3 linked regions of the Saccharomyces cerevisiae S288C genome follow. The protein of the gene in region 2 interacts with the protein of the main gene of each other region in a biochemical or structural test. Each region holds a gene or a part of one and is shown on either strand. Other genes may lie near its edges.

The links. Proteins that work in one complex are often made in the same cells at the same time.
Region 1: the proteins of THI3 (region 2) and THI2 form a complex in vitro, tested with the Saccharomyces cerevisiae proteins (one study listed by BioGRID).
Region 3: the proteins of THI3 (region 2) and PDC2 form a complex in vitro, tested with the Saccharomyces cerevisiae proteins (one study listed by BioGRID).

Annotation. Positions count from the first base shown.
Region 1 is NC_001134.8:699,990-703,766, forward strand, and holds THI2 (Thi2p), read right to left. Parts: upstream 1,854-3,777; coding exon 501-1,853; downstream 1-500. Other genes in the region: VVS1 (Vvs1p), read right to left, coding at 2,600-3,777. UniProt on the Saccharomyces cerevisiae protein: Positive regulator of thiamine biosynthesis.
Region 2 is NC_001136.10:308,651-314,899, forward strand, and holds THI3 (branched-chain-2-oxoacid decarboxylase THI3), read right to left. Parts: upstream 3,822-6,249; coding exon 1,992-3,821; downstream 1-1,991. Other genes in the region: 60S ribosomal protein eL13 RPL13A, read left to right, coding at 143-738; ribosomal protein P1 RPP1A, read right to left, coding at 1,152-1,472; putative serine/threonine protein kinase MRK1, read right to left, coding at 4,301-5,394, 5,687-6,098. UniProt on the Saccharomyces cerevisiae protein: One of five 2-oxo acid decarboxylases (PDC1, PDC5, PDC6, ARO10, and THI3) involved in amino acid catabolism.
Region 3 is NC_001136.10:606,804-611,961, reverse strand, and holds PDC2 (Pdc2p), read left to right. Parts: upstream 1-1,880; coding exon 1,881-4,658; downstream 4,659-5,158. Other genes in the region: STN1 (Stn1p), read right to left, coding at 37-1,521; VPS41 (Vps41p), read right to left, coding at 4,976-5,158. UniProt on the Saccharomyces cerevisiae protein: Essential for the synthesis of pyruvate decarboxylase. May be important for a high basal level of PDC gene expression or play a positive role in the autoregulation control of PDC1 and PDC5.

The DNA of each region.
Region 1 (3,777 bases), on a different chromosome or scaffold from region 2:
GTTGTACCCAAAAGAAATGATAAAAATAGCTCAAGAGTATCCTGACTTTATATAACTAGCAATTTTATCTAAGAGAGTAATGCCGTTGCACCGGCTCTTGTTTAGTTTTTTTATGTGGTTACTCTTTTACAATATACTAAAATTGCAACTCATTTGCTTTTTTCATTTCTTTTCCTTCAATTTTTTTTTTTTTTTAGTCTACGGCTAACAAAAAGCATAGGCTCAGAATGATAGATAGATATCCGATAAATGTCAGTAAAGACAAAGAAATCAGTAAAATAAACGTTTCACCCTGGCAGATAGGAAACCCTATCTCCCAGTGATAAACTTTAATTTTTTTTCGTGCATATATATATATACATATATAATATAAAACAAAATATCATGAATTTCTATCTAAAGTAGTGGGAAAAAATATGTCGTTAAAAATGGGTATAATATCCAAGCAAAGCTTTTGGCTTTTTTTTTCTTGAAATGAGTGAAGGGAAGGCTCAATAAGCCTAGTCCTGCATGGCATATACATCCTTGTAAAATTGTTGATTACACTTCAGTTGTAGCTGCCAGTACCGCAGTTGGGAACATGAAAGTGTGGTATCTTGACATGAGCAAAGTTGTTGCAATATTGTATCTTTCCAACTATTCACTAGGCGCTCCGTGACCAAGACATGTAACTCCGACGTAAGCTCGTCCTGGTAGGGATCCTCGAATAAGTCGGCATTCCCTAGCAATCCATTACAATGGTACAGGACGTCTAAATCTTGTGTATTGTTTATGATAAAGTTGACCAGCGGATACATCGAAAATCTCAATAGCTTTTGCTGGAGAAACCACACTCTTAGAAGCTTTGTCAAGTTGGGGCAGGTATATCCATGAATGATGACCAGCATTGTTATAGCTATGGATTGCCAATCGACACAACTCCAACGAGCGATGCACTCTTTGAACAGGCACGAGGCCATATTGATGTCCGGGTCGTCAATTATTTTCCCAAGGAAGCGTATGAATTCCGTGGTCAACGAGTTCCTCATCTTATTGATGAACCACGTCGTGTATTCTTGTCGGTTCAATATCATGTTCCCGTAGCAATTAAACCATAGGATCCCGAAAATTTTGCCTTGGATAATATCGATCAAAGAGGTGCTGTCTTCTGGCGGCGATGACAGCGCTGCAGTAGTGGTTTCCTCTGCTGACGACATCGAATGACCCGGCGACGGCAGCTGATCTGTAAGAGCAGAGGTAACTGCAGCCGGATTGGCCCTGAAAACTGAGTAAGGCCCGTGTTTGGAGCAATTGAGGTTGACCACAGATATGTCGTTTTCCACCATATTAAGCAATTCGTCCAACTTCTTGTCTATGCGCTTTTGAGTATAATCTCTATTTGTCATGCTACCAAAGACAGAGGCCACAGCGTTATTGTATATCTTCAATCTCCGTACGCTTATGGTGAATGTATTATCGTTAGGAAGCGTAGTTTCCTTACTTGCCTCGTGCACGCTGTCTTCGCAGTCACTTGTCGGGGGTGATAGTTGTCTAAAATGGGTCATTTGTTTAAACCTTGATTTTGAGATTTTCTGGCACAATGGTTTCGATTTCGATTTGCGAGCCTGTAATGAACTGATCAGTGAATGCTTGCGTACTTTGTAGATGTTCTCCTCTAACCACATAAGTCTGATATCGTAACTACAATTATCTCCATGTTTGGCACACAGTGAACAGATTGGTCTATTCTCGTCGCATCTGCGTTTCTTGAATCTGCATGCCCAGCACCCAGTAAATGTCCTCCCCTTGGTGGGGGGCACTTTGGAGGATGACGCTACTTTCTTGCTTCTCTGCTGCCTCTTACTATTGACCATTTGGTTCTAGTGCGGATATATATATAGGCTATATATATACGTGGTGAAATGAAATGAAAACGCTTTTAAAGTGTGCAGAAATTGTTATAGCTCTAACCCGTAGTATTAGTTCCCCATATAATTCCGACCGAGAAAGGTGCACCCACTTGTCATACAAATTGTACATATATATATATATATATATATATATATATATATATGTATATATTATACCTGCAAGCAATTGCACGCGAGTACTCTGCGTGAGTCAAAAGACTGTGGTAAAATGGTACCCATCTGATGCAGGAATTCCGACTCTTTCAAGCTAAATGCCGTTTCATTTTGGCACGGATGCATTCGCAGATTGGTTGGAAATCCGCATACATCAAATGCGCCAAGAGGGCTGCCATTGTATATTCCTTTTCTCGGCAGTCCTGCCGGATGCATTTATGCCGCTAAGACGCAGAACCGAATATTGGGCTCAGGAAAATATGCAGATAGACGCTCGCCCGTGAGCGACTCATGACGCGCGTGTGCTATTTTGGCCCCGGCAGTACAAGCGGTAGTCATGGTTTCCGCCACACGGATCTCATACAACAGCAATCCATTTGGTTTGCCTAGTTCCGTACATATACATAGATACTAACTAAATGAGTGCATATACTCATGTAGCCGTTCGTTACTAGAAGAAGAAGAAAATAAAAAACAGATGAATAGCTAGAAAGAAGTAAAAAATAGTTGCTTAGGTATATATGACTGGCTACAGATCAGTAGCCAGCCCAAACCTCGCTGTATGTAGTCTTGCCCTTTGTCTCGGGTACACGCTTGTACACATATGTAGCAAACATGGCAGCGATGGCGGCGAAGATCGCAAATACGTAGCCGCCCATGAGGCCGTGGCCTATCGGGAAGAGGTATCCGACGATGAAGGTGGCAAGCCAGTTGCACACAGTACCAAAACTTTGAGCTGTAGCGGCATCCTGCGGGTAGGATAGCTCACCAATGATCAAGAAGGGGATGGGTCCCAGACCGATGGCGAATGCGGCAATATAGACAAAAGTGGCCGTGACCAGTAAAAAGGATACGCTCAAGGTGAGACCTACACTGATCAGCAGCGACATGGCGGTCATCACCGTAGTCGAGGCAAGCAATAATGGACGGCGCCCGACGTGGTCGATGATCGCAGATGCTGCTAGAGTGACAACGACATTGAGGATGGAAATGGCAAAATTTACCTGAATCGAGTAGTCCGGTAGAATCTTGCCGATCACTTTTACACCGTAGAAGATAATAGAGTTGATGCCGCAAAATTGCTGGCACGACAAGATGGCGAGTATAACTGTGCGCGGTTTCTTGTATGAGGGATCGGTAACATATTGCCATAGTGTGGGTCCTGAATGAGTCTCTTCGCTTGACTCCGGGTCGCGGTTGTGCCCATGGCTACGCTGCCAATCCTGAATTTCTTGCTTCGCTTGTTGGTACGTTCCTGGACGCAACTTGAACAGAGCAGTTTCAGCTTCCGAGACGAATCCGTGGCTCACCAGCCACCTTGGAGATTCGTCCACTTTGAGCCAAGCTAAAATATTCGCTACCGCAATCACGGATCCGGAAAAGAGAAGCCACCTCCAGTTATAGGAGTCTGCGTACTTGAGTGCCAAGGTTTGGGTCAGCAGGATACCTAGATTGATAGAAACCTGATTCATAGATCCCATAGCGCCTCTCCACTCCACGGGGGCAATCTCGTTGATAAATAAGGGTGTGATCACAATGGCGGTGCCGCAGGACATGCCTACCAGGAACCTGCCAAATAGCAACTGCAAGTAGGAGTTGGAAAAGAAAAGCAGCAGAGAAGAAACCATGCACATGGCCGAGGCGCCCATGCTCACGTACTTTCTTCCGTATCGGTTGGCCCAGTTACCGGCGTAGTACGACCCAAACAGTCCGC
Region 2 (6,249 bases):
CAGGACCTTTGTACCACTATTTGCTGAACTCATTGTTAGAGTCTTCTTAGATAATATGATAAATTTGGTGTCTAATTGAAACGTCCACTTTTCTGTATACTAACAATTTTTAAAATGGGATCTACCAATTGAATTATATCAGCCATTTCCAAGAATTTACCAATCTTAAAGAATCATTTCAGAAAGCACTGGCAAGAACGTGTTAAAGTGCACTTCGACCAAGCTGGTAAGAAGGTTTCTAGACGTAATGCTAGAGCTACCAGAGCCGCTAAGATTGCTCCAAGACCTCTAGATCTCTTGAGACCTGTTGTTAGAGCCCCAACTGTTAAGTATAACAGAAAGGTCAGAGCTGGCAGAGGTTTCACCTTGGCTGAAGTTAAGGCCGCTGGTTTGACTGCTGCTTATGCCAGAACTATCGGTATCGCCGTTGACCACAGACGTCAAAACAGAAACCAAGAAATCTTTGATGCTAACGTTCAAAGATTAAAGGAATACCAATCTAAGATTATTGTTTTCCCAAGAAATGGTAAGGCCCCAGAAGCTGAACAAGTTTTGTCTGCTGCTGCTACTTTCCCAATTGCTCAACCAGCTACCGATGTTGAAGCTAGAGCTGTCCAAGACAATGGTGAATCTGCTTTCAGAACCTTGAGATTAGCCAGATCTGAGAAGAAATTCAGAGGTATCAGAGAAAAGAGAGCTAGAGAAAAGGCTGAAGCTGAAGCTGAAAAGAAGAAATAGATCTAAAAACTTCATCAAAGAATTTTTCATCCACAATTTTTGTATTTTCCTTCTTTTTTATCTGTTCAATTTCATAAATAATATATATGTACAATGTATAAACGGGAAGCCATCACTTATAATTTATCATTTCCTTAACTTTATAGTCTGGGTGAGAATATGGTTGACAGTATTTTTACAAGTTAGCGCAGTTTTCTTGATATGATGGAACATTATTGTATTAGTAGTAGTCAGGTTTGCAGGCTTTTCCTTCGAGCACAACGTGGCATTATATATAGCATAGAAGAGATGCGAAAGATGGTATTGAACAAAAAGAAAGTACTGTCTTATTGTATTAAAAGCGACTATATAGAAAAATTATAAAAAATTTTAAATGTTAGAATATGCAATTTCTTCTAAACAGTGCGGCACTTCTAATCAAATAAACCGAAACCCATGTCGTCATCGGATTCTTCTTTAGCTTCTTCTTCTTCCTTTTCAGCTTCGGCTTCACCGGCTTCACCACCAGCGACACCACCAGCGACACCAGCTGGGGCAGCAGCACCAGCGCTGAAGTTGACCAATAAGTCCTTCAAGTTTTGGCCGTCCAAAGCCTTAGCAAAAATATCAGCCCAGATATTTTCAACTGGGACATTGGCAGCGTTAGTCAAAGTCAACAACTTTTCAGAAGAGATTTCGATTTCAGAGTCAGCCAAAATCAAGGCGGCGTAAGACAAAGCGGATTCAGTAGACATTTCTTCTTGTTATTTTAGAGATAATCGGTTTAAGCTGTTGTATTGGACAAAGCGGACTATTTCTTTATTCTTTTGATTTCTTTTACTAAAAATTATTCAGAACAGAAGAGATCGCAAACTTTATAAAGATATTTTTTTCAAATACCATGTAAAGGCATTCTTTAAAAAATGAAAAAAAAAAAATCATTACAAAGTTGCGTGGTATCATCTTACGATATTCGTACCTCACGATATGTAGCAGACATAGATGAGGCTACAGGGTTAAGGCTTCTTTTAAATGAAGTATTAGACAAGATACTAGAGTTTAATAAGATCACGTATGGTAATGTTATTTCTTGCTGTGACAATTTTAGAAACAGAAGGCATGTGAGTTTTCATATTACATTAATTAAATGAAATTTTTATAAGCTAGGCTACTGTTCAGCGAATAAATATTTTCAAGCCAGTTTTATGAGGCAGGAAACGTCGCATTCGAGCGGTAATCATGAGGGTCCCTGGTAGTAGGGCGGAGAGATCAGATCAGTATCCAACTTGATTTTTTTTTAGAAGTGGTTGGAATTCTGGAGTTGGCGTATTTACTGCGCTAGAATTTTCGTTCTCCTCTTGCACTTGTTTGCTCTGTTCTTTTTCTACCACCCACCTGTCAAGCAGAGCCTGTGGAACATCCCTTGGTGGTAGCATAATCTCTATCATCCGAATTTTGTCATTGGTCGCAAAGTTTGGGTCACTGATCATGGATCTGAATTCTCCAACAGTAATAATTTTTTTCGTTTCGTAGTTCGTGCAACCAAATACTCGCAATAATCCCAAGTAGTTCCAAGGTTGGATATCGTAATAACTAGCATCTGACCTGTGATGCAAAAACCTGTCCACAGAGTAACCTTGGTTATTCATCACAAAAATATAAGGTGTCAATCCCCACTTAACAATTGTGGATAATTCTTGAACTGTCAATTGGAAAGCACCGTCACCCATAAACAGAATAACTCTATGTTTAGTTGCGGGGAATTTATCCTTGTTTATCTCTTGAACAGCAAATTCTGCCCCAAGACACGCCCCCATTGTATATCCGACAGATCCCCAAAGAGCTTGCGAAATACCTAGTGTATTTACCGGAAATCTGGTCTGGTTAACTCCAAATGCAGAAGCACCAGTTTCTGTTATGATTATGTCACCTGGTTGGAACCAATGGGATATTTCATTCCAGACCCATTCTTGTCTCAAGAGGACATTTCCTGCTGGGTAAGGTCTTGGAACCATCATACTGGGTTGTTCGCTTGGTTGGTAAGACAGTTTAGATTCATCAAGATTTGCTAATATTTTCTGTAGTAGTAATTTAATGCTCAAGTCAGGATATGTGGCATTTTTCAATTTCACAGATGTAGAATATAGTAGCGCACAATTCTTAGTTTTATATTGGAAGTGGAAAGTTGACGTGCTGAATTCGGAGAGCATGCAACCAATGACGATGATAAAATCGGCAAAATCAACTACTTCTCTTACTTCTGGGGCTGATATCGAGCCCGTGAATACGCCCCCAAATTGCGGGTCTGTTTCGTTTACTGTACCCTTACCCATAGGTGTAACAAAAACTGGAAATTTAAGCCTATTACAAAGCTCTTTAGTCTCCTCGATTAAATTCTGTCGACTAGTACATGCATCTACGATGATTGCCGGATTCTGGCTTTTGTATATAAAACTCAATATTCGAGAAATAACTTCTTTCTCTACGTCTGGGTCGTTTTTATGCAATTGTAAATCCAGAGGTGTATTAAGCCTTGCTGATTCAATCGGGAGATTTACCTGGTTGACAGGCATGCCCATGTATACTGGCCTCTGTTCTATCCAAGCCTTTTTGATGCACTTATCGACTTCGTCGGCACATAATTCAGAGTCAATAATCAATGTTGTATAGCATGCTACATCACTGGCTATTCTATGAAATACCGTGAAATCACCATTGCCCAGAGTATGATGCAGTAGTAGTTGTTTCGTTTGTGCACTTGTTGGCGGCATACCCACTATGTGAAGTATTCCTACATGTTCAGCGTAAGATCCGGCCACGCCATTGATTGCCGATAATTCGCCTACACCAAAGGTTGTTATGAGACATCCCAAGCCTTTTAGTCGTGAGTATCCATCTGCTGCGTAGGCAGCATTTAACTCATTAGAATTACCGGCCCATCGTAAGTTCGGAATGTTGTATAGTTTATCCAGCAACGGCATGCTAAATTCTCCGGAGAGTCCAAATATGGTATGTATGTTCAGCTGGTTGAGCCGATGGAAAAGATAATCTGATATTGCTATACACTTCGGCAGTGCATATCTCTGTGTATAGCTAGAATTCATCTTCAGAATGACGACGGTGCGTTTTAGTAGTTATGTTCTTTCAAACCTTTTTTTTTTCGTTTTATTATATTTTACTCTTTTCTACACAATATCGATAATGAATTACGAATTTGGTGCTTACCAAAAGGTTCAAAGATTACTATGCCGTAAAGTATGAAGAAAGGGAAATTTGTTCAATGCATCGCAAGTTTCATCAATTTTTCTTCTATGTGAGTGCTTTTAGCAACTGTTTGCAATAAAGAAACATAGGAGTTCTTACAGTTGCCAAGGTTCTGCATATGCAGTCATACGCTTGTGGCCGGTGAAAATTTGGGCGACCGCTGCCTAGAAAAGCAGCAAGTGAAATTAAATGAAGGAAAGAGGACGGTCGTTATACGTTAGGTTAACTGCATACGCTGTGTATCTGTGTGCAGAAGACAAATGCATATTATGTAATAGTAATGATACAATAGACTAAGAAATTTGAAGGATGAGATATATCACAAAGACGATGAAGGTGCAGAAACAAAATGTTTCAACCGTTCTTCAATGGCGGGCCGTTCCACAAGTGGAACATGGCCCAACTCAGTTTCCACGTCGAAGTCAAATATACGCAGGTTTTGTGCTTTTACGTAAGTGTCGGTATCACAACGTTTGGTTTCGTCAAAATAGCTTGATAATAGACATTGTAGAGGTACCAATCTTTCGCAAGGGTGATACTTCAGAGTTTTTGTTAACAAGTCAAGAGTATCGGGATCTTCGGCTTTGAATATTTCAGCCAAAGTAATGGGCTTGATATTGGGGAAAACATGGTCTTCATAATTTGGGTTCATTCCTGAAATTTCATCCTTTGTGGGTATGCCCATTATCTTAATAATTTCCACCAACTGATCTATACCGCTTTCACCAGAGAACAAGGGCTTGCCCAAAAGCAACTCAGCAATGACACAAGCGCTTGACCACACGTCGACCTGGTTTGAGTAATTAGTGGCACCAAACATGAGTTCGGGAGCCCTATAGTACCTTGAACAGATGTAAGACACATTAGGCTGATCCGGTTTCAAGCATTTGGCACTGCCAAAATCGCAAATCTTGAAAGAAAAAGTTGTCGGATCCACCAGTAGGTTTTGCGGTTTTATATCTCTGTGACAGATTCGAGGAACGTTATGCAAATAGTTTAAAGCTTTGAATAGTTGGTATGCATAGAATTTAATTTCAACACGCGGCATCTGCATTTTCAAATTAACAAAATGACGAAGCCTTTGGTATAACGACTGAGGCATGTAGTCCAAAACCAGATTGAGGTATACTTCATCTTCTTCGTCCTTTTCGTAAAAGTAGTACTGTAGACCCACAGTATTTGGATGGCACAACATCTTCATAGTTTCGAGCTCCCTATTTTTATATCTTCTATCTTGTAGTACTTTCTTTATGGCAACTTTTTGATTGGTCTCAATTATTACAGTCGTGACTACAACACCAAATGAACCATGGCCAACCACTTCTGTCGTAGGATAACTGATGTCGATAGTTCCTCCATGATTTTTTCGGTCGACATCAGTTTTGCGGTCATGTTTATAAACCCGTTTATGAACTAAACCTATGTTAGTATATAATGTGATTCCCATAAAAAATGGTAGTTGATGTAATATGGAAAAATGTTCCGCTATGCTTCCTGATATTTCGTAAGCAAGTTTCTAAGATTAGGGATGCAATTTCATAAATCTTTATTTTACACTCTCTTTTTTTTTCTTTTAATTATTTTTTTTTGTGTCGCGATACTATGAACTGACAGTAGTTCCACTATTCACTCCGGTTGTGACGAAAGAAACATTCCTCCACTGGCAAGAACATAAAAAAAAAAAATAAAAAATAATTATACATACTAGTCCTTTCCTTGGTTTTAATATACCTATAATCAAAATTAATCATTTTCTCAACCTTCTCTTTACTAAGCTTGCTACTAATATTTTCGTGCTTATTGGCAACTTTTCCATCTGTTTTACTGTCCGAGATATTGGCGTGTTCAATGTGATCAACTGCAATACCCTCCTTTCCCCCGTCTATCAGTTTAGATATTATAAGATTCTCTATGTCGTTGATGTACTCTGAACTGTTATTGAAATTAGGTACAGTATGGTGAACTTGAACGTCGCTTACCTTTTTGATTGTATCAGGCTTTCTCTTCTTCTTTTCTAGGGCAGTATTACTCTGTATAGATGTCTTGTGTTTTAGCTGAAGGTTATCTGAGTTATTGAAGGAAATCTTTCGCACTAGGCTTCTCAACACATCGGTCATAGTAGACTATTTTACAATTTTCACCTCTTCAATCTTGAGATTATTTTCAAGTCCCTTCCCCGCAGTATGGTAGAAACGGAAATACTTGTATGCAGCAGGGTTCTTATAGCACCAGTATTTTTTAGAGAATGCTTATTTAAGTTGCAAGATA
Region 3 (5,158 bases), 300 kb from region 2:
ATGCGCCGTTATTGACGATGCGAGTTTTCTAACAAATTATGAATATGCTGCTGCGTATTCCAAATGTAATAATATTCCACTGTTTTGGTCCTCCATACCATTCTTCGGATCAAGATCAATCCACCAATTTTTTAGTACCTCAGGATACTGTTTCTTTGTCCTTTTAAGACATTCTTTGAAAACATCAACGATGCCGTTCGTTGTTATGTACGGCAAATGTAGCTTTTCCTGAACATGACTTAATTGCACAGTGCCTGTATAACATTGTAGCTTCATTAGAACTGATATACGTTTTTCAGCATATTCAAAAAGATTTTTTAGAGGAAGCAAATCAAATGTCTCACTTGTTTTATCTTTTAATCCGATCAAACCCTGGCTGACTAGACGATTAACCAGGTCTCGAAACGCTTCCTTTTCCAAAGAGTCAAAAGATTTCATGACGCCAACATTTTGTTGTTGAAACAAAAACGATGCTAAGCTAGTTACTACGCTGCGTACTTCCTTTAGTTTGTAAAGGTCAGAATTAGAAATCTCTTTCATTTGTAGTCCTAATAGGATCAACATCAAGTTTGACTTTGCTGATGTCCTATTGGGAATCATCACAGGTAGATTAGCGCTTTGATATTCTAGTTTTTTTAACTGTTCGTCATTGCCGTTGTCAATTTGATCACCTGAATTCAAAAAGTGAGTTTCAGGAAAATCCTTTAGCGACGATACAAACCGAAATGACAAGGAATGCACACTATTCGAAGTATCTGTGCTATTGTATGGACTAATAATTTCTAATTCATCCTTCAAGCGTTCTTCTTGCAGTTGCTCGATGAAAGTAGTTTCATTTCTTTTACTTTCTGGGGTTTTGTACCCTATACCTACAAAATCCGGGTTTACTACCTCAATCTGTGATGTCTCAGGTGTCCACTCTTGCTCTTGCGTGAACAATTCTCCAATTACAAAATCGCTTAAGGACCAAGGCGTGTCAAGTTGCTCACGCATGTTCATTGTGATTTTCCAATGATCTATTTCTTCCGTTAAACTGTAGCATAATCTTAAATATTCAACTTGAAGCTCTTGATAGTTCAAACTTGCTTGCCCGTAGACATGAAGAGTTAAGCCTATCAAATCGGTTATGTTCAACCCCCATGATAGGATGCTATCCTTCTTAACTTTACATGTTAAGAATCTCATGTCACTAGTATAACCCACCAATGAAGAGTCTGAAGTACAATCGTCCAACTGAAAAAAAATGTATTCTTGTTTCCCAATCCATTTGAACTGGAGTCCAATGATGCAGCCAATAAGGTGTATTTGCTGTAAAGGATGATTTTTCCAGAACAACATCGACAACCGCCTATCATAATACTTTTCGCAAATTTGCAAAGAAACTCTCATCCGGTACTTTAAATCTCCAACAAATATTCGAACGTCCTCTGTCCCACTATAATAACTGTTGTATTTGAACAGCCTTGGAATATAATAACAAACATCGCCTTCTTGATGAGCTATATGTCCGTACTTATCCATGGCTCCAACCCATTATTAAAAGCCAGCTTATTGCTCTTTTTTCGCACAGAAATGGAATATCAACAAGCAGGATTTCATATATTCCAATGCTTACTTCTTTTTCCATGCCTTTACATACTTCTTTTTGGTGTGATTCGTGGTTTTGTTGTTAGAATAGCTGCTGCATATTTCCGTTCTGAGTGACTTTGCCCATCGAAGTCAATTACTTGAAAGTAAGAAATTATCAAAACCAATAGCTGCTTAAAAATCAGTTGCAAGATTTGAATGAAATCAGCAAAGTTTGATCAATCGTGACTAGTTCGCGTTTTGAATTTTGTGGTAACACCAAGCAGTAAAGAGACAGCTTTATTATAACCAGCATGCTTTCCATTCAGCAAAGATATAATATTTGTCTAATGGCGGAGAGGCACCCAAAGTGGACGCAACTTGAATTGGCAAAATGGGCTTATGAGACGTTCCAGCTGCCAAAAATTCCATCCCAAGGCACAATATCGCGTTTGTTGGCAAGGAAATCAACTTATATGAATTGTAAAGAGCATGAAAAAGATGCGAATAGATTAAGGAAGCCAAATAATCTTTTGGTTCGGAAAATTTTACAAGAATGGATTTCTCAAAGTTTGTGGAATGGAATCCCTATAACGTCACCTATTATTCAAGACACTGCACAAGCTGTTTGGCACAGAATTCCTGCGGAGCATCGCGAGGGAAATGGTTCTTTTAGTTATAAATGGATTTCGAATTTTTTATCAAAAATGGATGTCAATATTTCTGTTTTAGACGAAGAGTTACCCAAAACCCCAAAAGTCTGGACATTTGAAGAGAGGGATGTATTGAAGGCTTATTTCTCCAAAATTCCTCCAAAGGATTTATTCACTTTAGATGAAGCGTTTCTCTCCTACAACCTACCGTTGGATTATGCTCAATATGAAGCAAGTAGCATTCAAAGGCGTATAGAGGTGGCAACTGTCATGCTGTGCTCCAATTTAGATGGCTCTGAAAAGTTAAAACCTGTTGTCGTGGGCAAATATGATAGTTACAAATCATTCAGGAATTATTTCCCCAATGAACCGAATGATCCTGTGTCACAATCAATGTTGGGTACTAAGATGGCTAAGAAATTTGATATCTCATACCATAGTAACAGGAAAGCATGGCTAACGAGCAATCTTTTCCACAACTGGTTAGTCAGGTGGGATAAGAGGTTGGTTGCTGTGAATAGGAAGATTTGGATTGTTTTGGATGATTCTTGCTGTCATCGAATAATTAATTTGCGCCTTCAAAATATAAAACTTGTATACACTTCCTCAAATTCAAAGTTTTTGCCATTTAACTGGGGTGTCTGGGATGAATTCAAAACACGATACAGAATACAACAGTATCAGGCGCTCATTGACTTGCAAAATAGAATTTCGAAGAATATCCAAAATAAAAATAAATCAGAACGGAACGAATGCATACCCAATGGTAAAAAATGTTTGATTAGCTTTGAGCAGAGTCAACTCACAATGTCAAATGCATTCAAATTTATTAAAAAAGCTTGGGATGATATACCCGTTGATGCTATCAAAGCAAATTGGAAAAGTTCCGGTCTGCTTCCTCCTGAAATGATACATTTGAATGAGAATGTTAGTATGGCATTTAAGAAAAACGAAGTCTTAGAGAGCGTTTTGAATAGATTATGTGATGAATACTACTGTGTTAAAAAATGGGAATATGAAATGTTGTTAGATTTAAACATTGAAAACAAAAACACAAACTTCTTGAGTACAGAAGAATTAGTGGAAAGTGCTATTGTGGAGCCTTGTGAACCTGATTTTGATACTGCGCCAAAAGGTAATGAGGTCCATGATGATAATTTTGATGTATCAGTTTTTGCCAATGAAGATGATAATAATCAAAATCATTTAAGCATGTCACAAGCTAGCCACAACCCCGATTACAACAGTAATCACAGCAACAATGCTATTGAAAATACTAATAATAGAGGCAGTAATAATAATAACAATAATAATGGTAGTAGTAATAATATTAATGATAATGATAGTAGCGTAAAGTATTTGCAACAGAATACTGTTGATAATAGTACCAAAACAGGTAACCCTGGACAACCAAATATTTCTAGTATGGAATCGCAAAGGAACTCTTCGACTACAGATTTAGTTGTTGACGGTAATTATGACGTCAATTTTAACGGCCTTTTGAATGATCCATATAATACAATGAAACAGCCGGGCCCATTAGATTATAATGTCAGTACATTAATCGATAAACCTAATTTATTCTTAAGTCCTGATTTGGATTTATCTACTGTTGGCGTTGATATGCAACTACCATCATCAGAATATTTTAGCGAAGTATTTTCTTCAGCTATCAGAAACAACGAAAAAGCTGCCTCAGATCAGAACAAATCAACTGATGAACTTCCTTCAAGCACGGCCATGGCAAATTCAAACTCGATAACGACTGCCCTTCTAGAGTCAAGAAATCAAGCACAGCCGTTTGATGTCCCACATATGAATGGGTTGCTGAGCGACACATCAAAAAGCGGACATTCTGTTAATTCCTCAAATGCTATATCTCAAAATTCTCTGAATAACTTTCAACATAATTCGGCGTCCGTCGCGGAAGCTTCGTCTCCTTCAATTACACCATCTCCTGTGGCAATAAACTCAACAGGCGCTCCAGCGAGATCTATTATATCTGCACCCATAGACTCAAATTCCTCTGCGTCATCGCCATCAGCTTTAGAACATCTTGAAGGTGCTGTTTCCGGTATGTCACCCTCTTCCACCACAATATTAAGTAACTTACAAACAAATATAAATATCGCCAAATCATTGAGTACCATTATGAAACATGCAGAATCAAACGAAATATCACTGACGAAAGAAACAATAAATGAACTTAATTTCAATTATTTGACACTTTTAAAAAGGATTAAAAAGACTAGAAAACAATTAAATAGCGAAAGCATTAAAATAAACAGTAAGAATGCACAAGACCATTTAGAAACCCTTCTATCTGGGGCTGCAGCTGCAGCTGCAACTTCCGCCAATAACTTGGACCTTCCGACTGGTGGTTCAAACCTCCCAGACTCTAATAACTTACACTTACCTGGTAACACAGGCTTTTTTTAGATATAAACTTAATAAGATCTCGATATTCATTGCTCTTTTTTGTAGTTTTGCCTTTAACTCTCGGTTTTTTGAATTTATCATTTTCCTGATGACCTTTGACTGCTCTTTGATCTATCCTGAACACAAGAAAACGAAAAGAATAAATAAAAGTAGAGATATTTATTATTTAGCCTGTACCGATCACTGGAAACTGGATTCTATTAATTTTACTTATTCAAACCAAGATATCTTTTTCTTTTTTTTCTTTTTTTTTTTTTTTTTCAGCAGTACATTCCTGAAGTGTACACTTGCCTTGTGTATTAAATGATGATTCGATATTATAAAACACCATTTAAGTCGTCATTAATTTCAATATCGCTTTCGTCTACTTGAAACAATTTACCTTGACTTCTTATTTTCAGGAATTCATTGGCAAATTTTTTCGTTTCATCATTAATGATAACCAAAATATTATCTCTAACTTCCAAGCTTAATGAATTTTCTTGAACGATATGTTTAAT